Linked DNA regions of Diceros bicornis minor. The protein of the gene in region 4 purifies or fractionates together with the protein of the main gene of each other region. This does not show direct contact. Links are inferred from orthologs where the notes say so. Each region holds a gene or a part of one and is shown on either strand. Other genes may lie near its edges.

Region 1 (7,938 bases), about 130 Mb from region 4:
GATTTGATTCTTGTAAACAGTCACACGTGGTCAACCTGCAAAGCTATCAAAAACACATCAACTTTTCCCCACTTAAGTCCGCCCACAGTAAATGCCATGATACAGGTACCTGTGTGTGGGTGTGCAGCTGTTTTGTTTGTTTGTTTTTAATGATACCTGGCCCCTGATTTTGAGTAGCCCGGGCAATAAATTTTGTTCTAGGACAAAATCAAAACCTGATGTTATGATGGTAATTAGACTGGAAGCTTCGGGGAGGTGGGGACTGCCCACTGCCCTTCATATCACCAGCAGCTTCGTATCAGTGCCCCACAGGATACTCAGAAAATGTCTGTTGACAACTGGAATAATACAGAAAGCAAACTCCCTAAGTCTACTTCAACGGCTCGGAACGGCTCGGAACGGCTCTCAAGTTCTCTTTGACACTTTTGCCTTAAAACAAAAAAAAAAAGGATTCTGTTATCAGAAATTATTTGCTTACTTCTTCATCTTTCAAATGAATGAATATGCCTCTTAGTCAAGGGAAACGTCTTCAAGTTCTCAAATTTTTCCCCCAGCTCTTTCTTCAAACGATGGGGAGGTATCCTAAATAGGAAAACGGCATCGCATTTGAAGAATTACAGAGGTGCTGAAACGTTACCTCTGGAGTCACACAGACTGCTGTAAAGCAAGGTTTCTCAGCCCTGGCACTAGTAACAGATTGGGCCAGACAACTCTTTGCCGTGGGGGGCTTGTCCTCTGCATGGTAGGATGTTGAGCAGCATCTCTGGCCTCTACCCACTAGATGCCAGCAGCACTCCCTCTCAGGTGTGAACCAAACATGCCTGCAGAGGGGCCGGCCCCGTGGCTGAGTGGTTCAAGTTCCGTGTGCCCCACTTCGGCTGCCCAGGTTCGTGGGTTCGGATCCCGGGCACGGATTTACTCCACTCATCAGCCATGCTCTGGTGGCATCCCACATACAAAATGGAGGAAGATGGGCACAGATGTTAGCTCAGGTCCAATCTTCCTCAAGCAAAAAAAGGAGGATTGGCAACGGATGTTAGCTCAGGGCGAATCTTCCTCACCCAAAAAAAAAAAAAAATGCCTGCAGACATTGTCAAATGTTCCCCAGTTGAGAACTACACCTCTCAACTCACACAGGCCTGACTGAATCCTGGCTCTGCCCTCTCACTACCTGTGTGACCACGGGAAACAGTTCTACTTCTCCTATACTCCAGCAAATTCCTCATCTGTAAAATGGAGCTAATACCGCAGAAATGTTGTGAGAATTAAATGAAATGATATATTACAGGATTTACATGCACAGAACATCCAGTGCCCGAGTGGCTGCCCAAGAAATGCTAAGAAATGAGAGAAGGCTAAAAATTAACTTCCACAACCAAAGGAACCTATCTTCAGGCCTCCAGGGCACTGTAGTCTAGATGGAAGAAGTGGCTGAGATGGAAAGAAATGAAAAGAGAGAGAGGCTGGCAATGAGCAACTAGCACTAAAGTATTTCCCAAGCATTTCTCCAAGAAGCCGGCTTGGAGTCAAGGCCAATGATGTTCAACTTAGTTTTCCTCGGGCTACTCTAACCTCACAAAGGATAAACCAAAAATATCCCCAAATCACAAAACTCCAAAATAAACAAGTCAACAAGCCGGAAACTTTTTAGTATAAGCAAGAGGAATTTACTACAATGTCTACACAAAAATACAAAAAGCACCAGACTGCCAAACCATCATCCTAGGTTCGGGAATCTAAATAAGTCACTGAAAGTTCTAGACAAGTAGTGATGATGACTTCAACAGACACTTCTAAAAGACAAACTAAGAATACTCTTCTTACAAGTCCCTGACTGAAGAGTTCTGGGTTTCCTTCATCTCTACAGTTTTACTCCAATGAACAGTTTCTGAGATTACAGGAAATTTAGGGATTTTTCCATTACAGAGGTGCCAGAGACAGAAAGACAAACATGTAAAAAAAATTTTTAATTTTAAAAAAGCAATCAAATTCTGTGTATTGATTTTCTCAGGACGCTGAAATTCTATAAAAAGATTATGGTCACGTGACAATTTGGAACCCAGCAGAAAAGTCATTCCTCAAAAGAACCGTGGTCACGGGATGTGTCATCACTTAAAAAGAAAAAACACCAACAACAAAACCAACTAATACCTCCACAGCTCTGGTCTGCACTTAAAATTCTCATCCGGCCTCTTTACGTAGTCAGTTGGAAGAAAGAAAGGAACACAATTCGGAAACCTTAGCCAGAGTTTGAATCAGATAACGCCCCAAACCGCCTTCAGCCCCTAGGAGTGGCTTTACATTCCAAACGCCTCACCTGAGTGCTCAGAACACAGTAGCAAACGCTCACCTGGGCAGCGGGTCAGAGGTCACCAAAATCAAACTGTGAGAGCGCCTTTGCTTTCTCTACGTTAACCATTCGAGGGTAGAGTTTGGTTTGGGTGGGCTGGGGCGTCTGGGTGTGTCCCTGGGTGACGGGTATATTTCTCCCTGTGCGTGTGTTTCCCCGGGTGTTTGCGTGTATGTCTCTCTCTCCCTGGGTGTTTGGCTATGTGTGGGTCCCCAGGTGTTCACGGATCTCTCTTTCCCAGGGTGGTCGTGTGTCCCTGTTTGTGGATCTTTCTTTTCCCAGGTGTGTGTGTGTTACCCCCGGATGTCTGGGCGTCTCTCAGGGCGTCCCCGCGTGTTTGGGTGTGAGTCCCTCTCCCCGGGTGTGTGGGTGTGGGAACCCCTCTTTCCTTCTGCGTCAGTCAATAGGAGGCAGCGAGCGATAAGCTGTCCCCCGTCCCGGGGCGGACGAGTGACCCGCGCAGGCCCCGCGCGCCCCCCGCCCCAGCTGCCCGAAGCCCAGGCCGCCCGCGGGGCTCCCTCAGGCCCTGACGCCCCGCGCACCCGACCCCTGTCTCCGCCCAGCCCCGACGGGAGTCCGCGCCCCGCTCACCTCGCGGCCACACGGAGGACGCCGGGGAGCTCCGGGCCGGTCCGTCTGGGTGCAACGAGGAAGAGAGGGTTCGGGACTTGGCGGGCAGGAGGCAGCGGCGCTAACCGTGTGCGCTTCCAGTTGCTCCCGTCCAGCACAGAGGGAACAACATGGCGACAGGCCGGGGCGGGGCCCGGGGAGGCGGGGCGGGGCCTGGACGGCGGAGCCCTGGAGAGGCGGGGCGGGGCCCGTGGCGGTGGGGCGGGGCCTAGATTATGGAGCCCGGGGAGGCGGGGCCTCGAGGTCCCGGTCCGCCCCGCCCTCGCCCACTCCCTGACCGCCTGTCCTTTCTGAAGCACGGTTTTTCATGGGGTCTGCGGTTCCTCGTGTCCTCCGGCTGCGTTCCGGAGAGAGACAGCACGAAATGATAGTTATCTTTAAAAGTTTACATAGAGTGGAAATAAACAGATCGCATAAGCACAATCACAAGGATGTTGTGATTACCATGAGAAAATGAATGTGCAAAGAACAAAAGGGTAAATGAAAAATGAAAACAGCTGTGATATTGTGGAACAACAGGAACTTTTTTAAATTTAAAATTTTTCTTTAATCTTGTTAAAATACTGCCTCTGTCAGAGAAAGACAAACACTGTATGACCTCTCTCATATGTAGAATAGAAACTAACACAGAGAGAGAACAGTTTGGTGGTTACCAGGGGGGAGTTGGGGGGGGCATAAGGGGTGAAGGGGCGCATTTATATGGTGACTGACAAATAATAATGTACAACTGAAATCTCACAATGTTATAAACTATTATGACATCAATAAAAAATTTAAAAAAAATACTGCCTCGGTCATCTCTAAATATAAAGCAGTAATGGGAAAAGGCGGTATTGGGGAAGCTCTTCTAATTCCTGTCTTTATAGATTGGGTCGCGCGCATGGATCTTACGATATAGGCCCCTGGAGATCCGAAGGACTTTTAGTGACCTCTCAATATATTTTGTGGGGTAGATTTAGTTTATTTTCTAAGAGAAGCATCTCACTTTTATGATTTGCTAGGCCCACAACCATTAAATAACCTCTGGCTCTTTGGGGAGTCATTTTCAGGTAATGAATCTAATGTAGTCTTTTCATTCAGCACTAGAAAGGTTATATTTGAGAGAGTTTCTCACAAGTATAAGAGACAATTTTAGAATACTCATGAAAATGAGGCATAAATGAGTAATAAAGATTGAGCTCTAGTTTGAGCTTAAATGAATTTTTCTTTTATAGAAAAAATCTATGTTTTATCCATGCAGATATTTCCCCAAGGACGTATGAGTAAAGGTTTATAAAATACAAATCTGTTGAAAATAGGGAGGGGGAAGAGATATTCATTACCTTATTTTAAAACACATAATTAAAACTATGCAATAAAAATATAAGAACATTAGAGTTAATTTTCCAAAAGAAAAAATATATAAAGTGTTATGTACTAAATTGCAACAAGCAATCCACGGGATCACTAAGAAAATGCTACCTGAAAATCCTATGTCATAATCATAGTCAAGGAGTGATGGAATAGGATTTTATCTCTGCAACTGCTAATACCAACCAGCTATTAACAAGTGCTCTCACGGAATTATTGTATCTTGACTTCAAGTAGTAAGACTTGAGAAATCCAAGAGTTTTCAAAAAAGGGATCTAAGAAGGTCCTACAAGTGATTCCTAGGCTATTCCAAAACGTAAGTGAGGCATACAAACCTATCAGAGTGTAGCTTATAGTCAGCACTTGAAGAAAGAAGGAGGAAAGTTACTTTTTCTGAAATAACTATTACTTGGACACTAGCCAACTGACACAAGAATATTCTTATATTCTGGTCTCTTCTACTGTTCACTTCTTTACCTAATTGATTTGACAGCGCAAGAGTAGGGTGGGTCACAAGATTTGTCCCTGGAGCGTGAGTTTGGGGGATTTTTGTTGTTGGGTGTGCGTGGTTGGCAAGCTGACACAAGTTAGATAGATGGTCTCTATCTCTCTTGTTCCATGAATTTGTTGACTGACAAAAAACATTTAAGAACTGACCTAGTTTGACGCCCTTCATCTAATTAGAATATTCGTCTTTATATTCTGTAAACTTGTAATGCATCACCCATGGAGGAAAAAGAGGTCAAGGTTGCTAGGCATTAATGATTCTATGACCAGAAACCAGGCAAGGAAAGAGTTAATGAAAATCTGATCCGCAACTAAACATAGTCTGTCAAATGTTTTCCAGACAATGAGAAAATTAAATGTGCTATTTTTCAGAAGTTGATGTCCTCCTTTTTGCAGATGTTGCCATCCTACAGTGAAACTTACACGGTTGCAGCAGGACCATTGCAAACCGCTCCAGCGGGAAGCGTCCAAAAGTTACCTTGGACCTGTTATGGAATGGCATGTTACATTGAGCTCATCGTGTAATGGCGTTGAACGGGGTTATGTAACGGCTTGCACATGCACCCTGATTAGGCCCAGTTGTTACACAGTTGTAACATATCCTCTGCACTCTGGAGTATCAAGTCTTCAACTGCACTAAGCTGGTGGGCTGGGGGGGTGCACTGCTTTGGGGACTATCCCTGGTGTTCCCCAATGCTTGTGCAAGCAATAAACCTTTTTTCTTCATCCACTTCAGCCTTGGTTGTCGTGATTTTTGGCTCTGCACTCATCAAGAGACAGACCCATTGAGTTCGGTTACAATTCCTTCCCTTAAATGACACTTACTTGTTACTATGAGCACTGGGAGTTAATACCCCATTTCAAGCTGGAGTCTGAAAGAAGTCACCTCTGGTATCTCTGATGAAAAGTCACAAGTAAGTGGGCCCCAGACTCAAGTGTAATAAATACTGATTATAATTAAATTGATTATACTTTTCACATATAAGGAAAAACACAGAACTTAATGGTAGGCAATTTGACCATTAAATGATATCTAAACAATCAGAAATTTGATATTTTTCCCAAGTCATTGGCAAAAATAAGAGATTTGTTCTCAATATTGCATAGATGCTCTTGTATAGCTGTACTAAGAAGGAAGAAAAGCATAAAAAGTAATTCAAAATCTGTTATATTTGGCTTTAAAGTCAGAGTGAAAATAGATAACAATAAATAATGTTAAGTGAAAAAGAACATTACCAAATAGTATATGGAGGAAAATCCCAATTTGGTGGAGGAAGCACTTTTTATAATATATAACTTTTCAATAGATATTGAAATATTTATCTAACATTTATTTATATGTATTTATATATTTATATTGTCAATATCTCAAGCCAATGTCACACTCTTCCTGTTTGTCTTGAAACTAAATTCAGCATGTTTCTTACACTAATACAGAACTTTTGTTCCTGATCCTTAAGTCAGATAAAATCTCAATATATGAGGAAATACCAGAAGTCTGATTTCTTTACTGCTTAGTTTAAAAAGGAGTACTGAATCCAAAAAAGGAATAGTAGCATCACCCTTAATCTATATATCATCAGTGAGCAAATTTCAGAATTTGCAATCTTCAGGTTGATGTGATCAAATGGAAATGGACCCACAATCATGATAGAGCATATATCCTTTCATGGGTCCCATGAATTCCGTCCAGTGGTTGATGCTGAATGGCCACCTGGCTGTCAAAAGCCACCAATACACTTCCTTCCATCAGCCTGCCCACTGTCGGGAGAGGGGGAGCATGGGAGTCAGGAACCAACCCAACTGGCACCTCCCAAGTTAGTGGGTAACCACCACACCAGCCCAAACCCTTCCAATACCTGCAGCATAGACACACAGCTACTCTCTCCCCTTGGGTAATTTTAAGATTTGCAGAAAACGAAAAGTCATTTCACATTAATACTTATTTATTCAACAAATATATAGTGAGTGCATACACTATGCCAGGTGCTGAGAATACAGAGGTAGACAAGACTGAGGAGGAATTCAGGGGGTGTCCCCAGGCACCCTCCCTGCGTTTTCGCTCCCATCCACCAGCTGTGTTTATATCATATGACCTTACCTTGGTGAATACAATCGATTCAGGCCCTTTCCTAGGAGAGCTCAGAAGAGTGGAGGTGACATTCAATAAGCAACTAAACAAATGTGCAGTTACAAGTTGGATTAAGGCCCCTGAAGGAAATAAACAAGGCACAGTCGGTGGGAATACAGGGTAATGGTACCAGAGAAGGCAGGAATGGGGAGGTGACTCATGCTGAGCCCTAAAGATGAGCAAGCAGCAGTGGGAAGGGCTGTGGAAGAGCGGTGCAAGTTGAGGGAACAGCAGTTTGCCAAGAACCTCACATATAGAAGCATTCAATAAAATTCTAAATAAAGAAAAGATGCAAACTATTAAAAAATCTTCATAATTGATGAAAAACTGAAATTATAATGGTTTCTCTAGGCATAACTAGATCTAATGTATTCTCTTAAAAATAATAAGTGCATGTTGAATAGTGCTGCTCTTTCTCTACCACACTCTCAACAAAGCTTAAGTCCAGTAATCACAGATGGCAGAATGGAATAGGCATTAGAATTCAGGCATGAAGTGGGGAATTTGATGCCTTTGTTGATTTCCTGATGAACGTGAGTCATAAACTGACCCTCACCTTTAAAGGCAGTAGAAGGAAAACTCCAGACACACCATGGTTACATTATGTAAAAAGGTATATTTGTGTGTCTTTGTGCAGGCGTTTGTGCATACGAGTGTTTATAAAAAAAACAATAAAAGCAACAAGGGAAATCAAGACAGTTGAATTATTAGGGCAGCAGGATTCTGAGAATTGTTATTTAAATTTTGAATTCCATGTTATAATATTCTTTTGAGCAATAAGTGGAAACTTTTTAATGAAGCGATTTTAAGCAACCTATAGAAATACTTTCTATGGCATCCAAATGTAATCTTTGCGTTAGGCTACAATGGTTAGGGCAAGACAAAAATCCAGCTATTTTAGCAACTCTTTCCTTCATACAGAAGCTCTCCCAAATCCACACAGACAAGTCTAAAACTTTGTGCCCCTCCT
Region 2 (8,162 bases), on a different chromosome or scaffold from region 4:
GACAAAACACACAAAAAATAAGAATAATAAACGTGGTAAATGCCATTAAGCAGACGACCATGGCTTTGCCACAGATTAGTCTTTGAAAGCTGAACTGTGGAATTCTAAAACCAAAAAATAAATAATTCATGAAGAGTTACATCAAGATGACATGGATTCTACAGACCTTTCCTAATGCATAAGAAAACTACAGACACTGCCCACGAAAAAAGAGATCAATCTTTCACTGTCAAAGCTATTGGACGGCATTACTTAGCAATATAGCAATCTCAAAAGATAATTAACCTTACAGTTCCACAGAGTTAAAAAGCATGTAAATACAATCCTAAAAAAACATTTAAGAGGAGCCTATGAAGACATGACAACTAAATGTAATGTGGTATCCTGAACTGAATGCTGAAACAGAAAAAGATAGAAACTAAGGAAATTTGAATAAATTATAGACTTTTTTTAATATTGGTTCATTAATTGTAACAAATGTAAGATATTAACAATAGGGGAAATCGGGTGGGGCTATATGGGAACCCCCTACATGATCTTCTCAATTATTCTCTAAATCTAAAACTGCTCTAAAGAACAGTCTATTCAAAAAAAAAAATCTAAGATGGTTTCAGGAATTACGCGGGGGGAGTGCGAGTTAGTTAAGACAAAGTAAGAAATGAGAAGCCAAAAAACTCTGCAATGTGAATTAGAATATAAATGCTCAAGAAATTCAAAGGAAACCTACAGATACTTATGATCTCTATTCACACTAAAATTTTCCTAAGACAGAGATTAATGCATTTTTTCATGAAAACTAAATAGCTCTGCATCACAACATAAGGCAGGCAATAACATTCCCAGAGTGCACAATAAGCATTTTAGATCCTATTTATCAATAATGACCAATAGGCTATATTTTATGTATGGCATTGTCCTGAAATTGCCATAAAATATCTGGACCAGGATCAACTTCATAGGTCTTACTAAGTTACTTAAAGAAACAAGTTTATACTTCCTTCAGGAAAATTCATAAGCAAAGAGACTATATTTTTCCTTGGTAAGGGGGGTGGCAGGAAAGATTATGTATGAAAGGAGAAAAATAATTTCTCAGTCCAACTGGAAGCAATTTTGCAACTAGTATTAACCCACTTTAATGCCATAGAAATTAGTATAAATAGTTCAAGACACTAATAAAAGCTCTTAATTTATATCAATCATCTTCTTTCCAACCAAAACAAATAACGAATGCTTTCTATAACCTAACCTAAGACACCTAGTAGGTAACTCAATGTTGGATGATTTGGGAGGAACTCATCATCTCTCAATGTCTGAATTTTAAAGATGGTCATGAAAAGTGTGAGAAAAACAAAGGAGGATGATAATCTCTAAATTGTCGAGTGTCAAGTTTGCATAATACTGCAGAAAATTGGAATTACCACAAGAAGTAATTTTAGAGACAGCCATTACAAAATTAGGATCTTGTATCTAATACAAAGTACAGCGACAGTAGAAGCCTGACCAGATAAATGAAATAACAATTTCACTCATTAGATACTACGGAATATTAAGCATAAAAGAATCATTTACTCAAAATGATATTACATATTTAAATCTAATTTAGATAACTGGATGACAAATCTATTCCTACTCTACTCCATTACTCCCTAACCCCAAAGGAAATCCTACAAAACAAAGATGTTCGTTATTCTCAAGCCTTCTCTCACAGGAATTCTAAATATATAATTGGAAAATACTCAAGAAGAAATGGAATAATTAACATTTCCCCAGTAATTCCTGTTTGCACCACCATGAGGAGAATCAGACACTGATTCATGTTGAAACGAGAAAAAGAGAGGTGAGATGTGAAAAATTCTAAGTAAAATGATCATGACATAGCATCTGGCAGAGATCGGAAAAGCATCAACACTGCCAAAAGAATTGTCAGAGATGAAAGTCAAGAGAAGAAAACGAGGTTTTACAACAAGCACAGCCTAACCCAAGAGGCAAAAATCGCCACCGCCGCCGCCCCCAGCCCCCCAACTACTCCATCCTCCAAATCAGATATATCTCCTCTACAACTCAGACTAATTCCCCACCCAGGTGAAAATCATCCCAGAATTTTCTAGGACCCCCCACTTTCCCCCTTCCATAAGATCCGCACTTCTCAGGGCCGAGCCTCTGGGGAAAACAACGCCCAGATCCCACCCTCCTTGCCCAAGGTTGAAGAGGGCCCGTTCTCCGAACTGGGGCTTCCCGGGGTGGGCTCATAAAGCTGATGAACTGGGATAAGAGCAAGGAAGAAGGGTGGGGATCAAGGAAGGGGGCTGGGGGTGGTGAGACGACGGAGACGCGAGGAAGAAAGGGATGGACAGGAGGCTGAGGCTGGGCGGGGTGAGGCCAGGGGAGGGCAGAACCACGGGAGAGGGCCGGGCTGCGGGGAAAGGAGACGGCGAAGTCGGGGACGGAAGGGTCAAAATCCGACCGGCGGATCAAGGCGAAGAGGAGCCGGCGACCACGGGGCAGGGCTGGGGGTGGAACGCCGCGTGAACGCGAGGCCGGCGGGGAGCCTCCGCGAACGGCAGGGCCGCACTGGGGGCGGTGCGGGGAAGCCGGCCAGCTGCCAGAGTGGGGGAGCCGCGCACTCACCGCTCTGCTCCCCCAGGAACACCAGCTTGAATTTCCTCAGCGGATTCCCGAAGTCTCCGCCCGCGGACATGATGGAGCCGGAGGAGCTGCCGCCGCCTCAGCCCAGAGACCTCCCGGACCGACGCTGCTCCGACCGGTTGATGAAAAAGGCGAGAGGAAGGGCGGGCGCCGAGCTCTCTCGGTCCCTGCAGGGCCCGGCGGCGGAGCAAGGCTGGAGGGCAGGACTCCTCTCCACAGATCAGCAGCCGTCGCCGCCGCCTCACCGCGGAGTCGCCTAGCACCGAGCGAGGCCCGCGGACGTGAAGGGAAGGAGGGCGGTGTCGGAAGCAGCCAGGGGTGTGCTCGGGATTCCCAAGGCTAGCGCCGTTCCCGTCTCAGCGCCCGCCACGGAGCCTGGGCTGCAGGGAAGAAGGGTGGCGGAGCCGACCCGCAGACGCGTCTGGGACCTCTCACACGCAGCGCCTCAGCTCCCACAGCCGCCGCCGCCGCAGCCCAACCTGCTGAGTGCGCGAGCCTCTGGTGCGGCGCGGAGCGAGCCCGGGCGCGAGCCTGCCGCCCAGCCGGCCGCCGGCGTGCAAGCGTGCGTGCGTGCGCGTGCGCGTGCGCGCCACAGCCTGCGCCTTCCTGGTTTAGCCTGCTCTCCCGCAGACGAGGGCAGGTTACGTTTCGACTCGCGTAGGGAGAAGCGAGGAGGAGGTGGGGCGGGGCCCGCGGGAAGTGAGGGGTGGAACAAGGAGCATTAACGTCACTTACCTGATGAGCCAATCGGAAGAGGCCAAGGGTGGGCAGCGATGGGAGTGAGGTGGCAGCGCGAGAGCGCGCGCGGCACCAGCGCGGAGGACAGAGTTACACGGCGGCTGCCATGGGAAGTGTGGCGCGTCGCAGTCTGAAGGGAGAGGCAGGAAGGTCGGGCGGAGGCGGGGCCAAAATGGAGATGGTATTGACCGCAGCAAGGTGTGGTGTGGACGGAGGGCTATAAGGTGTGTTACTAGGTTACTCTTTCCTGAGCCCTCAACCTAGCCTCACATTGCTTAGATCCGCCCTTCACTGGTTCATGCACCCACCTTCTCCATCTTCTTTTGTGTGTGTGTGGAAGATCAGCCCTGAGCTAACATCCATGCCGATCCTCCTCTTTTTTTGCTGAGGAAGACTGGCTCTGAGCTAACATCTATTGCCAGTCCTCCTCCTTTTTTTCCCCAAAGCCCCTGAGTAGATAGTTGTCCGTCATAGTTGCACATCCTTCTAGTTGCTGTATGTGGGACGCGGCCTTAGCATGGCTGGAGAAGCGGTGAGGTGGTGGGCGCCCGGGACCTGAACCCCAGGCCGCCAGTAGCGCAGCATGTGCACTTAACCGCTAAGCCATGGGGCTGGCCCATCCATCTTTCTTATGGTAATTCCTCACACGATGTCATAGTAGATATATTCTCTGCTCCTGCTCCCAGGAGTTTCATAACTACCAGAAGCAGGGCCTCTATGTTTTTGCAGATGAGGAAACTGAAGCTCAGAGGAAGGAAATGACTTACCAAATCCATTACAAAATCCAAAGAAGCCATGAAGCGGAACCCAGGTTTTAGTCTTTTTCCTCCATCGAACCTCTGCAACCTCCTATTGATAAGCCTATCCACTTCCCTGGCCTGACTGCTTCTCTTCTGTTACCAGCCTTTGTTCCTCAGATATTGACAACTCTAGGTGACGCCCACCTTCCACTGTGCTAGAAAAGGGTTTAGACATCATGTAAACCAAAACCCTAATTTCACAGATGGTGAAACTGAGGCCCACGTAGGAAAACAGCTTTGCGAAAAGGTGACACAACAAATTAGAGGTAGAGCCTGAACTTGAGCCCAAGTGTGGGGAAGGGGATATTTTAAAGATCACTCTGCCTCCTAAAGCAGGGTTTCTGAATCTGCTATGGGTGGACCTCCCTTAAATTAGACGTCTGAAACATGTGGATTTTTCTGTAGAGAGGATCGGTAGCTTTCATCAGATTTTCAACCCAGTTCATGACCCAAAAAGTGAAGGTTAATGTCACAGCCAAGAGGAGCTGAAGGAGACGTGACAACTAAGTGTAATGTGGATGTAACTAACATGACATGTTAACTAACATGACAACTGAACATAAGTTTTAAACTAAATGGGATCCTGGAACAGAAAAAGGACATTAGGCAAAAACTAAGGAAATCCGAATAAATATGGGCTTTAGTTCATTACAATATATCAATATTGGCCCATTAATTATAACAAATGTATCATACTAATGTAAGATATTAATAATAGAGGAAACTTGAGGGGGTATATGGGGTCTTTCTGTGCTGTCTGCTCAATTTTTCTGTAAATCTAAAACTTTTAAAAAAAGTCTTAATAAAATAGAAATAAATAAAAGGTTAAGAATCTCTGAATTAGAGAATTTGGCATCCACACCTCGCCATACTTCAGCCACACCTCACCATACAATGGGACAGCATCCAAAAAAGTAATCCCTGCCTTTGAAGAAGACACTTTTAAACACTGGTATCAAAAATACTTCCCAAGATAATAAAAAATAAGTCCTTATGTTTATATATAGTGCCTTACCATTCACAAAACACATTTATATACATTTTCTCATTATTTGGGGGTTATTATTTACTTAGCTGTAAAAACGGCGGGATCAAACAAGTGCCTTCTCAAAACTGGGAATGAATTGCTGAATTAGAATAAATTAAGGGGAGAAATAGAGGTTCTCAAAATATCATCTATTCTGGCCTATCAAGACAACTGCTATATCCCCAAACCTCCTCCTTTATCAAAATTTACTCACTTCTGGTTCCTCTCAGCCAAATGGCAAAAGGATTTTGGAACATGTATCTAAAATGAAATGGTAAAAAACTGAGTTCTTACATGGACATTAGATTTTTTTTTAAATATTTGATTTTAAAAGTAGCTTGTCAGGTCTGGTAAGGCCCTCCCTACCAGTAACCCAGAACCCTGGCACACACGAAGAGCAACCAATACCAAGAGACCATTTAAAAAGAAAAGCTCTTGCAAACAAAAGTGAGTGGCTATTTTTTCTTTCTGATGGGTACCAGGTTTTCATTATGCTTCCTGAAATAACCTTTAAAGTAACATCTGAGGATTGGAACTATAATTACCTTGTACTTCCTGCAGAACTTTATGAATCAATTCCTCCCTGCTGCTTTGGTCTCTGTAGTTACCTAGACAAGTGATGCTATTCCTGTCATTTTGAAGAGAGATGTGATATAATCCACCTCTTACCTCAGATGTTTTAGTGTTTTAAGCTGGCATTTTGCATTGACACATATACAGCCTCATTCTCCTCTGAAGCTGCATTTATATCTATTGAGTACTCTGTGTAAATCATATGTCTTGCCATCAGAAATCTTGTGGTCTAAAAGTTGCATATTAGTGCTGTCTGGTTCATCAAATGGAGAAATTACTTGGGATAAGGAGAAATTAAAGAGGCTTTTTTCAAGGGTGCTTTCACCAACATCTTCACCTCTGTGATTTACACACACTTTTCTCTTTGCCTTGAATACTTTCCCCTCTCCCCCTCCCCAATTCCTACTCATCCTTTAGGTATCATCTTTAAAAAGTCTTCAAGAAGATTTCTCTGCTCCCATCCCCACCAACAATGTAATGCCTGTCCTCTCATTGTACTCTATTCTTCCCCATCACTTAATTATTATTAATTATCAGTCTTCTCTGCCTGACTGTAAGCTCCATGAGGTCAGAGCTCATGTCTTGTATCCCCAGCACTTGCAGAGTGCTTGCTATATAGTAAGCATGGAACAGATATTTGCTGAATAAATGAAATAAGTGAGAGGGATCATTTTTAGCTTTCTTCAAAAGATGAATGAGATTTGGGCATGTGGAGATGGAAAGGCAAGAGCATTTGGGAGAAAGAGAACATCACTTAAAATCACGTTATGTAAGTTGATACTACATTCCTTAACATCACTTATGAAAAAGATGCCCAGAACAGATCTCATCACTAAAAATTGGCAACAATGGAAGAAGACAGCTTTGGCAGCTGCAAATCAAAATTACCTAGACCAGTTTTCTTTGACCAATTTAAAAGGGATGTTAATTTGAAGCCTTTGAGTGTGTCTGGGAATCTACCACACAGAAATTATAATTACAGCCTTTCTTTCAGCCCTGAGAGACACAAAGCTTCTTGAGGGAAGACTGAGATTTCATCTTATTCCTTGTAGAAGACATTATCGGTTGCTTATCCAACAATATACACACAAAACACACACACACTTCCACGATGTATATTGGAAATGACAGATACTTTTCCAACTTCCCTTCAGCCAAGCTATAAGCACGTAACTTGATCTGAGCCGGTGGGAGGTGAAGGAAACGTGCCAGAGACTTCTGAGATTTTCTTCCCTGATGAAAAGAGATAGATGAGGGAAAACTGCCTTTGTCTGCCATTGGTTGTGGTTATATAAAGACACAGGATGTAGAGGTAAGACATCTTGTGAATATTAATATATATTCCTGAATAAAAAAGCCAACCCATTGATGATGGCTCAGCAGAAAGCTAAAAGGCATCATTGAGCCATTGTACCAACCTTGGAACTGGCCTTCCTCTGGATTTCTTTTTAGCAAAATAATAAATATCTTTATATTTAATAATGTCTTCATAATATGTCTTTGTCATTGTTACTTGCAGCTGAAAGCATCTGACATTCTCGTTTTTAGATCTCTTAAAACACCTCACACAGTTCTTTGAACATTAGGCACTCAATACTCTGTGTGTGTGTGTGTGTGTGTGTGTGTGTGTATAAAATACAGTAGTAGTTATGAAACTGGAAGTTCCTTTTTTCTGTTTACTACTCCCTAAAAAGGATTTATTACTCTTGGAGAGGCAGGAAATCAATAGAAGGAGAAAAACTGCCCAGGTAAAAGGACTGAAATCGTAGTGCTCAAATTTGAAACAAATAATAGGTCTGGCAGGAACTCAAATTCTATCAAATGTGAAGCCCTTCTAAGCCACTCTGCAGGTTATTATAATAATTGCTTCTAAAAATAATAGTGGGTCAATATACAAAGCATAAAAATGACAAATGCTCAATAATTCAAGGTGACCAATTAAATGAGCACAATTAACACAAGATATGTTTAAGCAAGTCTCATTTTAAAAAGACTACAAGAAAAAAAAAGGAGAAGACCTCATGTCAAAACCTGTTTTCCAAATACCTTGACCTACAATGATGTGCCAATGGAGAAGTATAAAGGTTATTTAGTCAAGGTGGAGGAGAAGGCAGTAGGATTTCAATGGAATGGTCCTTCCTGTGATTATAGCCAATTCATAAGCTAAGTCAGAAGATATTTTTGCTATAAATTGATCTACAGAATCTATTTTTAATAATTCCATTTTGTTCTGTTCATATGAATCACGGTCCTTGTTATGAATAATGTGATTTCTCAGAGCATTAAATGTGGAGTGTTACTTCCAGGCTTTGAAATTGCAGTGGGGCAAGAGGTTGTTTCATTTTATGCTAGTCCAGAACGTGTAATACCTGACACAT
Region 3 (7,960 bases), on a different chromosome or scaffold from region 4:
TAGAAAGAATTATACACCATGATCAAGTGGCCTTTTTCCCAAGAATATGAGGTTGGCTTAACATCCAAAAATCAATTAATGTAATACAGTATAATAATAGAATAAAAATGAAAGCGAAATTAAGATTTTCCCATGTAAACAAAAACTGAGAGAATCTGTCACTAGCAGACCTGCACTACAAGAAATGCTAAAGGGAATCTTTCAGGCTAAAATGAAATGATACCAGACAGTAACTCAATTCCAAAGGAAAAAATAAAGAGCGCAAATAAAGGTAACTACATCAGTAAATATAAAAAACAACATAAATATACTTTTTGTTTGTAGCTCTTTTTTTTCTTCTATGTGATTTAAGCCATAATTATATCTATTATGTGGATAAAAGTGCAAAGGCCTGATGTTCCTGTTTATTTTGGTTTGTGCTGTCCAGTATGAATGTCATTGAAGGACAAAGAGGCACCAGCACTTGGGGAAGTTATTTCATTCCTGTGCCCTATTTCCTGACTTGTAGCATCTCTGACTGGCTGGGCCACAGACCCATAGTTGTGTGCAATGGGCCCAGGAGGGCCAGCCACTGGCTGCCGGCTCAATGCTGACCTGAGTGGCATTCCTGCCACAGATCTGCTGTGCACCGTGATGCCATGCATACCTACCCAAGATCTCAAGCATGATGGCTAATCTGTCTTCTTCATGGCTGGTTTCACTTTCTCCAGTGGCTTTTTTTTTCTTTTTTTGCTGAGGAAGATTTGCACTGAGCTAACATCTGTGCCAATCTTCCTTTATTTTGTATGTGGGTTGCTGCCTCAGCATGGCTGATAAGTGGTGTCATGTGCCCAGGATCCAAACCTGTGAACCCAGGCCACCAAAGTGGAGCAGACCAAACTTAACCACTACACCATGGGGCCAGCCCCTCCAGTGGCTATCTTTTGAGAACTACAGAACTTCGGGCACCTAAAAACTCATCCAAACCTCGGCACTAAAAGACAACCAATCTCTAGAATGACTTCTAGCAGCATGAGGCCGTGTCCTTAGGATGACCCCAGCCCCCCATTAAAATGCCTGCCTGAGAAAGCTCAAACACTGCCAGCAGAACTCACTATTCTCACCAACACCTGACTTCCTTTTCTTAGAGCATTTACTAAAAAGGGCTTGTAATTATGACTCTTTACTCTGTCCCTTTGAGATGTATCTACTACAACTCAGGAGTGTCAGGATTATAGGGCCACCGGGCTGGCCCTATAATCACCTTTACAGTGACCTACACTTTGTAATTTTCCACTGGAGCCCCACTCTCTCTCCTTCCCTACCCTCTTCCTTTAAAACTCCCAGTCACCTCAGTGCAAATAGGAACAGAGCTCAGCTCTTCCCTTGCTGTCAGCAGTTACTGAGTAAAATCTGCTTCCACCACTCCAGCTGGTGCTTCAAACCTTGGCATATGCAAATAGTTTTAAAACAAGGTAGATTTGCCTGTGGGAAGGAGAGAGAGAGAGAGGACTGGGAGGAAGCAAGCAGAAGACATCAGGGGGCTAGGAACGTTGTTTTTCCTGATAAGTGGTGGTTACACAGGTGAGTTCACCTTGTGCTAATTCATTAAACTGCTCACTTACGATTTAGGCACTTTTCTCAATGTGCTTTGTTTCAGTATGAAAACAAAGCAAAAGAGTAATACTCAGTAGAGAAGCTGACATAAAACAATACATACTATATTACATATTTATATAAATTCAGACATACCCAGAGAAACTATACTGTATTGTCCATAGGTGTACACTTTAGTGGTGTTATTTTGAAGCAATGCTTCTCAAATTTGAGCACATCAGAATCATCTGGAAAGCTTGTTAAAACCACAGACGGCTGGGCCCCCTTCCAGTTTCCAATTAAGTAGAATTGGGCTGGGGCCTGGGAATTTTCGTTTCTAACAAGTTCCCAGTTAATGCTGGTATGGTTGATCCTGGGACCACACTTTGAGACCCACTGTTACAAAGAATGGCAAGGAAGTATTTACCATAAATGTCAGGATAATGGTTATCTCTGGCGGGTGGAAGGGGCTTGTGAACGGTAAAGGCGCACAAGGGGGAGCTGCTGGGATGCTGGCGACATTCTCTTTCCTCACTTAGGTAGTGATTACATAGATATCCACATCAAAATAATTTATTAAATTGAACATTTGTTTTATGCACTTTTTATATATATTATGATTCACAATAAAAAAAAAAAGGTTAAAGCAATTTTAAAAACAAAAGAAAAAGAGTCTGCATCCCTAATGGCACACTATGCCCCATAGGCCTCCTTGGACTACTTATTCCATGAGATAGATTAATTCTTGTCTGTTTAAGCCACTAGAGAAGGGTATTGTGTTATTTGCAGCCAAACACAATCATAATTATATGTGATAATCTTGGAGCTCATTCCATAATAGCACTGCTTTATTCTTTTTAAGGGCTGTATAGATGTGTCATATTTTTAAAACCAAACCAGTCCCCCATTGATGAACAATTAGGTTGCTTCCAGACTTTTCTATTCAAACAATGCTGGATTGTATTGGTGGGAGAGAGGGAGAATCTCCCTCTGCCCTTTTCCTTAAGGTTCTTATGGCTGGCCAAATAATTAACAAGACAGGTTAGCAGGAGAAAATAATACCAAGTTTAATAACATGTATACATGGGAGAAAGCAGGGACATGGCGTTTCTCAACACAATAACAGAAATTCTCGTCTTAAATACCATGTTCAGCCAATGACAAAGGAGGATGTTGGGGGTGGGAGGAGTCAGTTACAGGAGTTACCACTAAAGCACAGTAAACAAGAGTAAGGTTATTATGCAGATTTAAGGCCTCACCTTCCACATTGATAAGTCTCTAGAAATGAGGCCATCTCCCCTTTTCCCAATACAGAGAGGGCGATACCTTTACAAATGGAGATTTCCCTTATAAATGTAAATGTTTGTCTGGCAACTCCTCGCAGGGCCATCCAGAGAATGTGGCCAGAGAGACATAAGATGGGCTTGTTGGTGCCTTTTCTATTGTAACATCTATTTTACATTATATTACAGCCATCAGATAGAAGGTCTGTTCCAGGAAGGAGTTACTATGTCAAATTCTTTAGACAGGTAGTGGGGGAGGTCAACTGTGCCTCAGAGAAAACAATCAAGGTAAAGAGATATATTTCAGGGTGGCCAAATCTTGATCTCCCACAGTATCTCTTTGTACATATGTCTGAGCACATGGGGGAGCCCACCTGTAAGATAATTTTCTAGGCCTTGAAGTGCTTGATCAAAAGATTTGTACAAGGGATTATTCTAAGTTAACAGACATTATACAAATGTACACTCCCACCAATAGGTATCACAGTGCCTGTTTTCCCCAGCCTTGCCAACACAGTTTCCCATCAAAAGGCACACCAAGTGATGGCGGAGGACACCAGAACTCTCTCTCTTCCTAAAAACCTGGCTAGGGGGCCCTATTACCCTGGTTTTATAGGTAAGTAAACAGATTGCCAAGGATAAGGGACCTACTTTTCTCAACTTCAGCCTCCATTTCTGGATTGGATTAACATCTTCTAAGAATAGATATGGTAACTGCTCCGTGTCATAGCGATTATTATTATTACTATCATTCCCACTTCCCATTCTGCAAGCTAGAAGCCATTTCTTCACTTCTGGTGCAGACAGGACAAAAATTGTGTTCTAGCCTCTCTAATCCATTCCCTCTGGTACTCCCTGAGGCCAGTCCTTCTTCTCTTCCTCCCACCCTCTTCTCTTCCCTCCCCTAATGAGCCTCTCTTCAGAAGCCCCATTGCTCGTCACAACAAGGCTGCAAGAAGTATTGGTTCCTGTTTCTTTACCATCTTATTAGCACATACCCCGACAGGGTCCTGTTCCCAGAGAGAATGTGTAGTGGTTAAGATCAGAGACACCCACCCCAAACTGCCTGGGCATTGCTACTGGCTATCCTGTAACCTTGGACAAATTACTTCTGCTTTCCTCACCGTCCTCATTTGTAAAATGGGAATGCTGATACTCCCTACTTCAGAGTCGTAGGTTGAGTACAGATAATATGTGCCTGGCACGTGGTTGTTGTTGTTATATTACTATTATCAATGGAGAAGAAACTAATACTAAGAACCTGGCACTGTAATCTGAAAAGTCACTTAATCCTCGCAACAGTCCCCCAGAATAGATTGTTATTCCATTTTAGAGCAACGGGCGAGAGAGACCGCTAATCCCATCTCTGCCAGGGTTTAGCAGAGCGACCAAGAGTGCGAGTCTGTTTTCTCCCCTGTAAACAGTAACAATAACGCGTGCCTCGCCCTGTCCTGCGGAGTACTAACAGACCACGCAGAAGCCCTTGAACAAACTTGCTTTCCTTCCCCAGTTTCCCATCCACACGCCCCGCCACACCCCTATCGCTCAAGCGCAAGTTCACATTTCAGTCCAGGCTCCCCCAGTCGTCACAGCCGGGACGCGTGACGTCACGGCCCCGCCCGAGCAGACCCGGAAGCAGAATCCCCTACAGGTCCGAGCTGGCATTACTGCTCGGGCCCGCTGCCAGAGGGCGCGAGAGTCGCCGATGTTGGCTAGCACCTCCCTTGTTTCGTCGCAGGCCGGTCCCGGAAATGGAAGCGTTTGCCGTACAAGATGGCTGCTTCCTTTGTGGTGGTATGGAACGCTGAGAGGCTGTCCTGGTTCTGGGAGGCGCGGTGATCTGAGCGCAGTGATTGCTGCGCAGCCTTCTCGTACAAGTTAGCTGCTGAGGAGTTTCCAGGTGTCTTTCTTGAGGCGGTAGGTGGCCACAGGTACAAGATGGCGGCCCCCACTGCGGGCTCGCGGCGGGCGGGGAATGGGGGCGGCGTGCGCGGTTGCGCAAGCGGGGCGGCCCTCCAGCAGGGTGCGGCTGAGCTCGCGGCCGGCTTTTGTGTGCCGGGAGGGTGACGCCGCCGGGCCGCGCTGTGGAGTGCTGAGACCCGGGTAGGGGATTTTGCTCCCAGCAATTGAGAGAGGTGGGCAGAACCGAGATTCCTGGAAGCCGCAAACTGACTCCTGTAGACAAAGACTCGTTTTTTGCTATTTTAAGCCGTGAAACCAGAGTATAACCAGGTGAAATAAATTGGAGTAGATCCTTTCAGAGAACTAACCTGCCATCGCTAGAAAGAGCAAAGCGGCACTTTATATACTAATATATATTTTTTTTGCTGAGGAAGATCAGCCCTGGGCTAACATCCACACCCATCTTCCTCCACTTTATATGGGACTCCGCCACAGCATGGCCTTACAAGAGGTGCGTGGGTGCCTGCCCGATGCGAACCCGCCAACCCTGGCCCAGCAGCAGAGCGCATGCACTTAACCGTTTGCGCCACCAGGCCGGCCCCACAAAGTTCTTTTATAAAATTATAGTAAAGAGAATAACACGTTTAAAAAAAAGTGAGCTTTTTCAGCTGGAACCATGACATTTAATGAAGATTCTTGAGATTGAATTTGTAAGGATAAAAATTTGAAGGTCGGTACTGTAGTACTTGCTGCAAAGGATACAGATCCATGTGACAACCTGAGCCCTCTTGAAAGCTAGATATAGGTTTGGTTTTGTTTGTTGAGGGGAGGAAGGGAGATGGGGGGTTTGGCTGGCACACAGAATGCGCTCAAGACCTCCCTGTTGAATGAATGCCTAAATGCCTGTCCACTGCCAACACACGTGTTCTCAGCAGCTTAGTCTTGCTGGTATAGCTTCTGATATTTCTAGGGTTAGTATAGTGGAAAACAATAGCAGCATTGAATTAGAGTTTAAACCGAGTGTGTTTTTTGGCCTTAAAATCATCCAGAAATGTGTTTCCAATGCTTAAAAAATAAAGTAGCAGCCGTTTCAGAATTGGCATTGATCTTGGGAATCGCATATTTGAATGTGAAGGAAATGCCAGTCCTCCATGACCGTACTGAGCCTTTGCTAGTGTGCCAGACACTGGACTAGTGGGCACTCTTACATGTACCACTCTGGGTTATTGGGTGTATTAAATATGGTAATATATGGAGCTGGCCTGGTGGCATAGCAGTTAAGTGCACGAGCTCCACTGTGACGGCCAGTGGTTCGCCAGTTTGGATCCTGGGCGCGCACAGACCACCACTCGGCAAGCCATGCTGTGGCAGCGTCCCATATAAAAAAGTGGAGGAAGGTGGGCACAGATGTTAGCCCAGGGCCAGTCTTCCTCAGCAAAAAAGAGGAGGATTGGCAGAGGTTAGCTCAGGGCTGATCTTCCTCACACACACACACACACACACAAAAATGGTAGTATAACTGGAGTTTAGCCAAGTTCCTGACCTGTACTAAATGCTCAATAAATATTAGCAATTACTATTTTGGGGCAACTGTGAGTTTCTCGATTCAGTACATTTTTGCCTCTGAGACCTTATGGAGACTTTAAAAATATGGTAGCTACTGTAGAGAACTTACTGTTTTTTTTTAATCAACTTAGAGGCCACATGGTATAATGGAAAGAATTTAGGTCCTTATTGTGTTTCTTTGAGTAAGTTACTTAACCTTTAGGGACTTTAGTCTCCTCATGTGTAAGCCGAGAATCACAAAACCTCTGTTGGAGGCTCACTGTGAAGATAATGATTAGAAGTAATGTATGTAAAGCACTCAGTAAGTGTTCTCTAATTCTGTAATATTTCAACCTCAGAGTTAAGGAACTAATACTGCACTCAGAGGCAGGAGAACTTCTCTGGTCAGGGGCAGGAGTAGGCGGCCACAGGGTGACAGTTAACACAGGAAGCCTACAAGCAGAAATTGGAGGGATGACAGGTCCACTGGCTTCAGGGCCTTAGGCTTCCTCTCTCCATTGGGAAAATGGTGAGGCCGCCACACCAGGCAGATATGGTCTGCAGGCCCTTTGCAGAGGTGCCCCCTTGCCAACAGCGACCTGCACTGTTTCAGCTCACAGTCGCCTCTTTGGAGCATCTTAACACTGTCTCTCAGAGGCATCAGCCACTGTTTATGAGGCTCATTCCTCATACTTTAGTATTTAATATGAAGTACCTACTGCATATGTTTAAATTTTTTTTAAATTTTAAATTGTGGCAAAATATAAATAACATAAAATTTACCATCTTAATATTTTTTAAGTGTACAGTTCAGTGGCATTAAGTACATTCATATTGTTTTCTCCAGAAGTCTTTTCATCATACAAAAAGATGAAACTCTACCCATTAGCAATAACTGTCTGAAACTCTGTACCCATTAAATAATACCTCTCCATTCTGCCTTCCCAGCAGCCCCTGGGAACCACCATTCTACTTTCTGTCTCTGAATTTGACTACTCTAGGGACCTCATGTAAGTGGAGTCATATAGTATTTGTCTTTTTATGACTGGCTTATTTTACTTAGCATAATGTCAGAATTTCCTTCCTTTTAAAAGCTGAGTAATACTCCATTGTATGCATGTTCATATACCACTTAAGGGGAGCAAAATATGCCACCCCAAAATGTGCCACTTTGGCATGTGGGTTATTTTGAGCTGAAGGCAGTCAAGACCTAGCAGACTCAGGAAAATCTTTTCCCTCTCCCTTAACTGCCTAAAAGAGTTTAAATAGGGGCCTGGCTGAGGAGGAGAGCAATTACCAGAGATTTCTTTTTATCTGTAAGACTTACCTGCGTGGCAGGGCAAACATCTGCTCTTCTTGTCTTCTGGTGCATTGCCTTTCTCCCTTTTGAAGGCTCAGGCCCTTATTCCCTTCCTTAGGTCAGGATAGCATATAAGCCTCAATTGCCTGACAGCTTTTGGGTCTCATGTTTTTATGGGGCTCCCATACATATGAAATTAAATTTGTTTTTCTCCTGTTAATCTGTCTTATATCAATTTAATTATTAGATCAGCCAAAGACCCTAGAAGGGTAGAAGGAATTTTTTCTGCCTCGACACCACATTTTGCTTATCAATTCATCTGTTTGTTTTTTTTTTTTTGTGAGGAGATCAGCAC
Region 4 (7,921 bases):
TCTGTGCTTCAATGCACTGCTGCAGTGCCTCATCACACAAAGATGGTGTGAAGTAAATTAAAACCACAATGGGAAAGTAGAAAATGCTATGGAAATGCTCAAAGGAGCCGTTTCCATTCTTGGCCTTAATCCTACTCAGTATTGACAACTTAAAGAAGCCATGCCCTCACCTTGCAAAGCCCTGCGGCAGCTCACCAAGGCCATAGAGTGGGTATAAATATGGGCTCTTCCCATACCGGGCCAGGGACTCGCTGTACAACTTGATGCGGTTGATGGTCTCAAGACAGGGCTGGTCCAGGTAGCTGGGGGGACGGGTTCAGGAGAAGAGGCTCCAATAGCAGCACCCCTGGCTTCTCCCTACCCAGGCCCCAAGCCATCCTTCCCACCACCCTCAATGACCTGGGGAAGACTATGGGTCAAAAGCAGGGAAGGGACGGGAGAGGCCACAGGTGACTGTATGACCAAGTACAAGAGATGTACAGGGTGGGCTGAGGCAGCAGCAAGCAGGAGCGGGGAGGGCAGGGTGCAGGCTGGGCAAGGGGTGGTCCACCATGCCAGCTTCCCCTCACTCATCAGTGCGGTAGAGCGCCAGGGCATGGCCAGTGAAGTCGATGACATCCTGGCCCAGGTCAAACTTCCGGTAGACTTCACGCATGCTGGTGCTCTGGGGGTCAACGCCCTCAAAGGTCTTGGGGTCATTCTCATCAAAGTTTGCCACAAACACCAGGAACTTGCGGAAGCGCCGTTTCTCAAACATGCCCATCAGATCTGCGAAAGCAATGTGAGGAGAGCATTTGCACCACAGAAAGTGAACCTCTCCTTCCCACCAGGCAGGCCGAGAAAGCAGGCACCCCAGCTCCCAGCTGAGTTCTGTTGCTGACCACCATGTGACCTTACGTTAACTGCTCTGCCTTTCTTGAGCTCAGTTTCCCTATCTGTATGAAGAGGGATGGCTCAACAGGCTCTGAGGGCCCTCCTGGTTCTGACACGTGGGGATGTTTCACCTGTTAGGTGGAGCCCCTGTCAAAGGCTTAAGTCTTTCAAGAAAGAGATCCCCCACACATCCCCTCTGTGTATGGAGTCCCCTCCTGGCAACAAGTGTGAGGCACAGCCTGGGGTGGTGCAGAGAAGACAGAGCAAGGGGCTTCTGGTACTGCATGGGGAATGTGACCTTGGGCACGGGGCACCCTGCTCTGGACAGCTGCCCTCCCATGATTCTCTGGCTCAAGGGACGTGCACTCACTGGAAGCCAAGGCTTCAGTCTCGGTGGACGGCACTTTGTAGATCTTGCCCCCCTTGTAGACGAAGCTGCCCTCCACCACTTTGAAGTCCAGGTAGCGTGTCACCTCTGTATACAGTAGCATCTTTACCAGCTGCCCTGTGGGGCAGTAGGGAGAAGACAACAATATCAGCATGGCTCCTTCCAGAAGTTCTAGCTGGTCTGGCTGCCCTTTCTCTGGAACCTGACCCTCCTCTGGTTGTCTCAGTCACCCCCCACAATACCTCCTTCGTCTCCCTCACCATTGGCCATGAGGAATTTGGGGATCAGGTCAACATTCCAGTCTCGGCCCCGGCCCATCGCCTCAGGGGGCCCGTCCAGCAATTGAAAACGCTTATACAGCTGCAAGCAGAAAGGAGAGAAAGAGAGGTACCTCAAGGACTAGCCCTCCCTGCCCCTGCCCCCAGCCCAAAGAACCTGGGGAGCTGATTCGGTACCCTATGTGAGAGATCAATGAGAGATAGGCCTGGCCCTGGCAGCCTCACCTCCTCCAGGGGTGTGATGGAGGAGCTCTCGCCCCCATAGTAGGGATTCCGGTCCATGTGCAGCACCTTCTTCCCATTCACGGACATAATGCCCGACAGGATGCATTCCTGGGGAAGGAGTGACATTCACTGCATTTCCCACCTACCCACATTCCCACTAGCAGCTCTGATTTGTTCCCCACTCCAAACCTGAGAGAAGAGCAAAGCCAGAAGGACTCTACCCCAAAGGACAGCTCCTTCCACCCCCGGCTGGTCGCCTCGCCTAAAATTGGGGGCAACGGCTTCATCTCACCACAGCCTCCTTTATAACCTTGCTGAGCGAACAAGGAGGAGAGAAACACTGGCGGCGTTGAGGGAGAGAGAGTGTCCAGCAGACACACAGATGGTCCTCCGGCAACTAACATGCCAAGAAAGTCCTCTATCTACGTAGATGCCCACGGAAAGGCAGGTAGGAGGACACAATGATCCACGGAGGAGACCCAGCTGCACAGCGAATGGTACCCGAAAGGGAAGTGAAGAAACGCTCACCCGGTCTTGAGATCGCAGGCCCCACCCTGGGCTGCTCTTTCCTCAAAGGGCAGGAGCCTTCTCGGCCACGGGAGGGGTTTCTGTGCCCCGACTGAGGGAGATGAGCCTCTCGGGGGGGGGGGGGGGGGGGGTCAAACGGGGTTTGAGGAAGGGGGAAGATAAACACCCTCCCCCATCACTGTCACTAGCCCAAGGACAAAGGCTGCAGATAATACTCAGCCTGAGATCTCCAAGGGAAACCGGGGTGAGGTAGCGGGAATGTGGTCACTGCCCCCACTGATGCTCTTTCTAGAACATTCTATGGGTCCCCAGGCCCCATAAGAAGCCGGGGAGGGAAGATGACGGCCCACCCCGGCGACGCCCTCCGACCCGAGGTCCTCATACCAGGATTAGCGCCAAGATAGGAGCGGATGCTAGGAGAGCGAGGGTGAGGGGCGAGGGGATCAGGAGGCACCGGAGGACATCGGGACGAGTGGGGGGGTGCGTCTTCCAGCCTGGCAGGCCAGAATGGGGAGGTGGGGAGGGATGGGAGTCGGGGCCCGGGGAGTCGAGGGGGCGGCCAGGAAGAGGGCTGCTTGTTGGAGACCGGGCCACGGCGATGGGTAGAGGCGACGTCGCGGGGGGTCGGACACCCGGCTGTCTTTTTGGGGACCCGAGCGCCGGGGGCGGCAGCGCCGCGGTGGGCAGTGACGGGAGGATGGGGCCGGCGGCCGGGAGGTGCAGCCCCGCGGGAAGGAGGGGGCGATGCGGGACCCCAGGCGCCCGAGGCCGCACTTACGGTCAGGCCGGTCCCCAACACGATCACATCGTATTCCTCGTCCATGGTCAGGCCTCGCTGCCAGCGCAAGTCGACTCCTCCTCCTCCTTCACCACAGCCGCCGCCGCCGCACTGGACCAAAGATGGCGGCGCGTCGGCCGCCGTCGGACCCCTCCGCCGCGTCAAAGAGTCCGGCCCCTCCCAGCGCCCTGCCGCGCCCGACCGGGGCCGCTGCCTTTCCGTCTCGCCTCCCAGGAGGGCTGCCGGAGCCCGGGACCCAGCACCACCGCGGCTCCGCGGGCGGCGGCGATGGGCAAGGGCCCTGAGGCGGGCGGGGCGGGGCGGGGCGGGCCGGCGGCCAGTTCTGCGGCCCGCGAGGGATCCGTGCGCGGGAGCAGCGCGCGCCCCGCCCGCCCCGCCCGCCCCCCGGGAGGCTCGGCGCGTTCCCGCGGGCTGGGCGCGCGCCGCTGCGGCAGCCGAGGGCGACCCCTTCGGGACGTGAGGGCAGCCTTTGTAGCGGCCGACTCCCTCAGGCGTTGATCGCCGCCGCGCCACGGCACTCTCCCTACGCTAGCCGGTGAGGGGCCCAGCTTGCTAAAGACCCTCTAGGTCTCCCCTGGCTCCGGGAGAAGCAGCCCACAGGGGAACTTCGAGTCCTCCCCACCTCCCCCTTGGCCTGGCTCAGCTACAGCTACATCCGGGCGCCTCCTCCCGCAGCCCTAAGCCAAGCTCATCCCTCGTGCCCAGTGCAGAAATGAGTGACAAGAGGCCCACGCATGGCGACCCGTCTTTATTTTATTAGGAAGGAAACCACCGAGTACCCCAGGCTCCTGCCAGGCACTCCTGGCGGCAACATGCCAGAAACCCAGTGATCATACCCAGCCCACCTGCCGTGGAAGACCCTTCCTTATCAGGCCACAGAAATAAACCCCAGTGTACTGTTTATTGTTAGCACAACATCACCAAAAAACAATAACACCAGCCAAGTGGGACAGACAGCTAAATAGTACTTCAGCACCCCCAAACTTAGGGAACCTCCAGCTCCTGGCTGCTGCAGGGAGCCCCATAAAGCGTGGGGAGGGAGCACTGGCCACAAAAGCACTATAAACAGCAAGGGGTGAAGGCAGAGAGATGAGAATAAATAAGGAGAAAGGGGGAGGAGGAGGGGCCCTAGAACTCAGGTCCCCTCCCCTCACAATGCCCAAACCTGGGAGATTTTTCTACTAGCAATGCAGAATATATACATCTTCTTGGTAGAGATGGGGGGTGGGCAGCCCCAGGAAAGCCCCTCAGTTGAACAGGGAGCAAGACAGACTGAGGGGAGCTGTGGGTTCACACTATAGTAGGAAGAGGGGAAGCCCTTCAGTCCAGCATGCCTCAGGGTGGGAAAGCAACAACCTGGACACATCATGCCCTCAACCCCCCATGGGCACAGGGTCACACAATCTGGGTCAAAGAGATGGTGGGGCCCTTGTGGTCATCAAAGCGGTCCATGGTCTTGAGGCTGAGGATCATGTGCAGGCCATAGGTGAAGATGAAGAGCATGAAAAGGGAGGTGAGCAGCCCCATCCAGATGCCAGGAGAGAAGAAGCCGGCACAGTCACTGGCGTAGGAGAACTGCTCACCTGTCACACTGAAGGCCTGGATCTGGGGCACAGAAAGAACCATGTAGCCCCACACAGAGGGAGGCCCAGTAAGGGCCAGGATTCCCGAGTGAGTGGGTAGTCTAGATCTCACGAGATGGGAGCACCGTGGGGATGGGACTCTCAACTACATTCCTGAGCCCAAACCCAAACTCAAAGGATGCTGGGACTCTTCAGGCCTCTGTTCCCTCCCCCCTCTCCCAGTATCCTGTGAGCTCCAGCCTGGGATTGCGGACTCGAGGCTCAGTCCCTCGGTGCTCCCCGCTCCCTACCTGGAAGTCCTGAAGCGTGATTTGCCAGAGAGAGGGCTGCATGCGGGGCACAAGGATATTGCCGTTCTTGCTCCAAGTGCTGACATACTCGCAGTGGAAGGAGTAGATGCTGGGCCCCGTGACCCGGGAGGCATTGAAGGAGACAATGGAGCCGTTGCTGTGGATCTCAAGGTGCTCCATGGTAAACCAGTGTCGGGCGGACACCGGGTAGAAGCGGTTAGCCAGAATAAACCTGAGGGAGGCCACGGGGTGTCACGCAGCTGGGGAGGCTGGGGCCACACCAGCGCGCCCACACCTCAGCCACCCCTCAGACTCACTTGAATGTCACTGTGGTACCAAAGAGGTGTTCGTAGGTCAGCGAGAGCCTGCAGAACCAGAGTAAGAGGCAAGTTGTCAGGCTCTGGGAGGGCCTTGAATGTCTCAGAGCAAATTCCTCAGATCTACTCCTACCTAAGCTGCCCTGGGGTCTCACAGCCACCTGAAGAGACAGCAACCCCACTTGACAGATGGGAAAACTCAGGCTCTGACACATTCTAAGTCAGGAACCAGTATGCACGTCCCCCACCTCCAGCTGAGGGCTCCTTCCTCGGGCTCCCTTGAGCCCAGTGACTCTCCTTTCAGCTCCCTCCTGGAGTCACTGAGGTGCCCAGGTTGGGCTGTGGGGGGTAAGGGCAGTCTCTCTTATCACACAGGAAGGATACAGGAGCCCCAGAGCTGGTTTAGGCCTGGTACACGCCCTTGTGCAGTCGCCTTGATGTTGCTCAAGGGGGAGGCGTCAGGTTCCCAGGTGACTGGGAAGTGTTAACAACTAAGGTCCCAGTCAAGGACTAGAGGGCACTGGGAGGCAGAAATCTGAGCATGCCCCACTCCAAGAGCCCTCCATCAGCCCCATCCCATGATACCACCTACATCCCCACAGTGAACATGCCCCCCAACACACCCCCCACCCCTGCAGTGGCAGGTACTTTGCCCTTACTTGGCAACGGAATCATTCCAGAAGGAGCCGGTCAGGTTGAGCTCCTGGACCCCAAACGTGAGGGAGGTCAGGTCCTCCCAGTGGTCCCCGTATGCCACCGAGAAGTTTTGGGCCCAGAACAGGATCCGGGGGGCGGTGTCATTGTAACTCACAGGAGGATGGATCACAGACGATGCTGGCTGTTTTTGCAACAGCTGGCGACCTAGCCCACCAGCCACCATGGCTACATCGCGGGCCACCTGCAGAAACAGTCCACAAGCCTTCTCTCAACAGCCCTGGGAGCAGGCCCCAGACCAAGTGGGTCTGCCCTCACTGTCTCCACTGGGCACCCTCTCCACCATCTGCAGTCCCAAGGGTCATATTTGGAGGCCTTTCCTCCAGGAAGCTTTCCCCTGCTGGCCCCTAAGCTTTTGTGAGAATCCTAGTCCCTCAAACTTAGGAATACTTGGACTGTTGCCTACGTATGCCAGCCCGTAAGACTGACAGGGCAAAACAGAAACCTGCTGCCTAGAAGAAGGAAGGAGGACTTTACTGTTCACCCCCATTCCCCCCATATTGGCCCAGGGGAGAATCTGGCCTCCCCAATGCGCTCCACACTCTGCTTGAAGTCATCCCCCCTCCAGGCCAACTCACCACGCGGCCTCTGCCCACACCTCCCAGAGCCCCTGAGGAGAGGCACATACCCTGGAAGGGCGGAGTGCTGTGAGGGCTGCTGTGTATGGGACATCTTCGGACTTGAGCATGCTCAGTACCTGCCCAATGACCTCATCTGAGGGACAACGGGGAGAGCAGAGAACCAGGTCACGGGCGGCACTTACAGCAATGCTCCCCACGCCTGTTAGAACCCATCTGACCATTGTTGCACAGCAGAAGCCAGCAGAGGCAAGGCCGTGCCCTTCCACACGTCACATCAGTGCCCCCTCTTGATGGCGTTCAGTGAGATCACCTCGTTGAGGTGGGGACCACCAGGCATCTGCACTGTGAAGTCCCCCCACCTCTGGCAACTGGCATGTCCTCTATGGTGGGACACTGAGACCCTTGCAGAGCCAGCTCCCATCAACCTTCACTAGTGTTTTCAGTTTCCAGTGAGGATCCCTAACAGTAGCTGCTTCTTATCCCACCTACCCCCAGCCTCCTCCTGGACATCTGTGGCCTCAGTCGTCGACTCCCTGATGCCAAGCCCTAATTAAGTGGAACAAAATAGAGATAGAGAAAACTCCAAATCCACCTGTGGAAGGTTCACAAGACATTTCCATGGGGGTGACTGTCCTTTATAGAAACTCTAGGATTCACGCTGCCTGAGTGGAAAGTGGCATGGAGGCCCCTAGATGTCTTGACTCCTCTGCCAGGCAGGGCCCAGCTGGAGAAGGGTGAGGTCTGGGGGCCAGCATTTCCCTACTCAGCTGCCAGGTGCTCCGAAGCAGGGGGACTGCCCTGGGAGTGAGGAGGGGCTGAGGAGCTGCAGACCAGCTTTCTGGGGCCCAGGGCTGGAGGAGGACAGAAAATGTGCACCCTCCCTGACCTCACTCACCATTGCCTGTGAGGACCTCCCTCGGCGCCATCAGACCTGAGCTATGGAAGACACAGAGCGGTTGAGCCCCTGCAACCCAAACAGCTGTCCCCCACCCCAGGCTGCCATCCTTTCCCACCAGCCCCACTCACCAGGCACACTCTAGCATGGGCTCTGGGAGCTGTGCTCACTCCTCCCTCTGCACCTTTGCTCACCTCATTGCCCTGCCTGGAATCCCTTGCCCCTTCTCCCCTGACTTCACAGACCCACTCAAGGCCCTGCCACCTGCTCCATGAAAGGGTCCCGGCTAGGCGACTTGGCTCCCCACCAGCAGGGCCCACTTCTGCCTCGTCTCTGGAAGCCTGACAGGCCTAGCTCAGTGTCAGGCACCAACTCCTGAGTCAAAGCCCGGCCGGAGGCCCTTCCCACCTCTTCTGGCCATACAGGGCACCTTCTGGAAAGGCTTCAAGG

Evidence for each region.
Region 1: the proteins of GDI1 (region 4) and RAB9A purify together in Homo sapiens (affinity purification with mass spectrometry; 3 studies listed by BioGRID and IntAct, counting the BioPlex papers as one, with this or other methods). This does not show direct contact. The link is inferred for Diceros bicornis minor from reciprocal best matches to the Homo sapiens genes GDI1 and RAB9A.
Region 2: the proteins of GDI1 (region 4) and RAB6A purify together in Homo sapiens (affinity purification with mass spectrometry; 3 studies listed by BioGRID and IntAct, counting the BioPlex papers as one, with this or other methods). This does not show direct contact. The link is inferred for Diceros bicornis minor from reciprocal best matches to the Homo sapiens genes GDI1 and RAB6A.
Region 3: the proteins of GDI1 (region 4) and RAB7A purify together in Homo sapiens (affinity purification with mass spectrometry; 4 studies listed by BioGRID and IntAct, counting the BioPlex papers as one, with this or other methods). This does not show direct contact. The link is inferred for Diceros bicornis minor from reciprocal best matches to the Homo sapiens genes GDI1 and RAB7A.

Annotation. Positions count from the first base shown.
Region 1 is NC_080781.1:11,084,183-11,092,120, reverse strand, and holds the start of RAB9A (ras-related protein Rab-9A), read right to left. Parts: upstream 3,082-7,938; 5' UTR 2,942-3,081; intron 1-2,941. UniProt on the Homo sapiens protein: The small GTPases Rab are key regulators of intracellular membrane trafficking, from the formation of transport vesicles to their fusion with membranes.
Region 2 is NC_080746.1:57,117,533-57,125,694, reverse strand, and holds the start of RAB6A (ras-related protein Rab-6A), read right to left. Parts: upstream 3,143-8,162; 5' UTR 2,699-3,142; coding exon 2,629-2,698; intron 1-2,628. UniProt on the Homo sapiens protein: The small GTPases Rab are key regulators of intracellular membrane trafficking, from the formation of transport vesicles to their fusion with membranes.
Region 3 is NC_080741.1:93,394,058-93,402,017, forward strand, and holds the start of RAB7A (ras-related protein Rab-7a), read left to right. Parts: upstream 1-4,687; 5' UTR 4,688-4,775; intron 4,776-7,960.
Region 4 is NC_080781.1:138,372,211-138,380,131, reverse strand, and holds the start of GDI1 (rab GDP dissociation inhibitor alpha), read right to left. Parts: upstream 3,294-7,921; 5' UTR 3,116-3,293; coding exon 3,071-3,115; intron 1,873-3,070; coding exon 1,765-1,872; intron 1,622-1,764; coding exon 1,522-1,621; intron 1,379-1,521; coding exon 1,244-1,378; intron 769-1,243; coding exon 570-768; intron 303-569; coding exon 171-302; intron 1-170. Other genes in the region: ATP6AP1 (V-type proton ATPase subunit S1), read right to left, coding at 4,487-4,696, 4,965-5,196, 5,282-5,329, 5,941-6,179, 6,624-6,709, 7,066-7,122, 7,472-7,512. UniProt on the Homo sapiens protein: Regulates the GDP/GTP exchange reaction of most Rab proteins by inhibiting the dissociation of GDP from them, and the subsequent binding of GTP to them. Promotes the dissociation of GDP-bound Rab proteins from the membrane and inhibits their activation.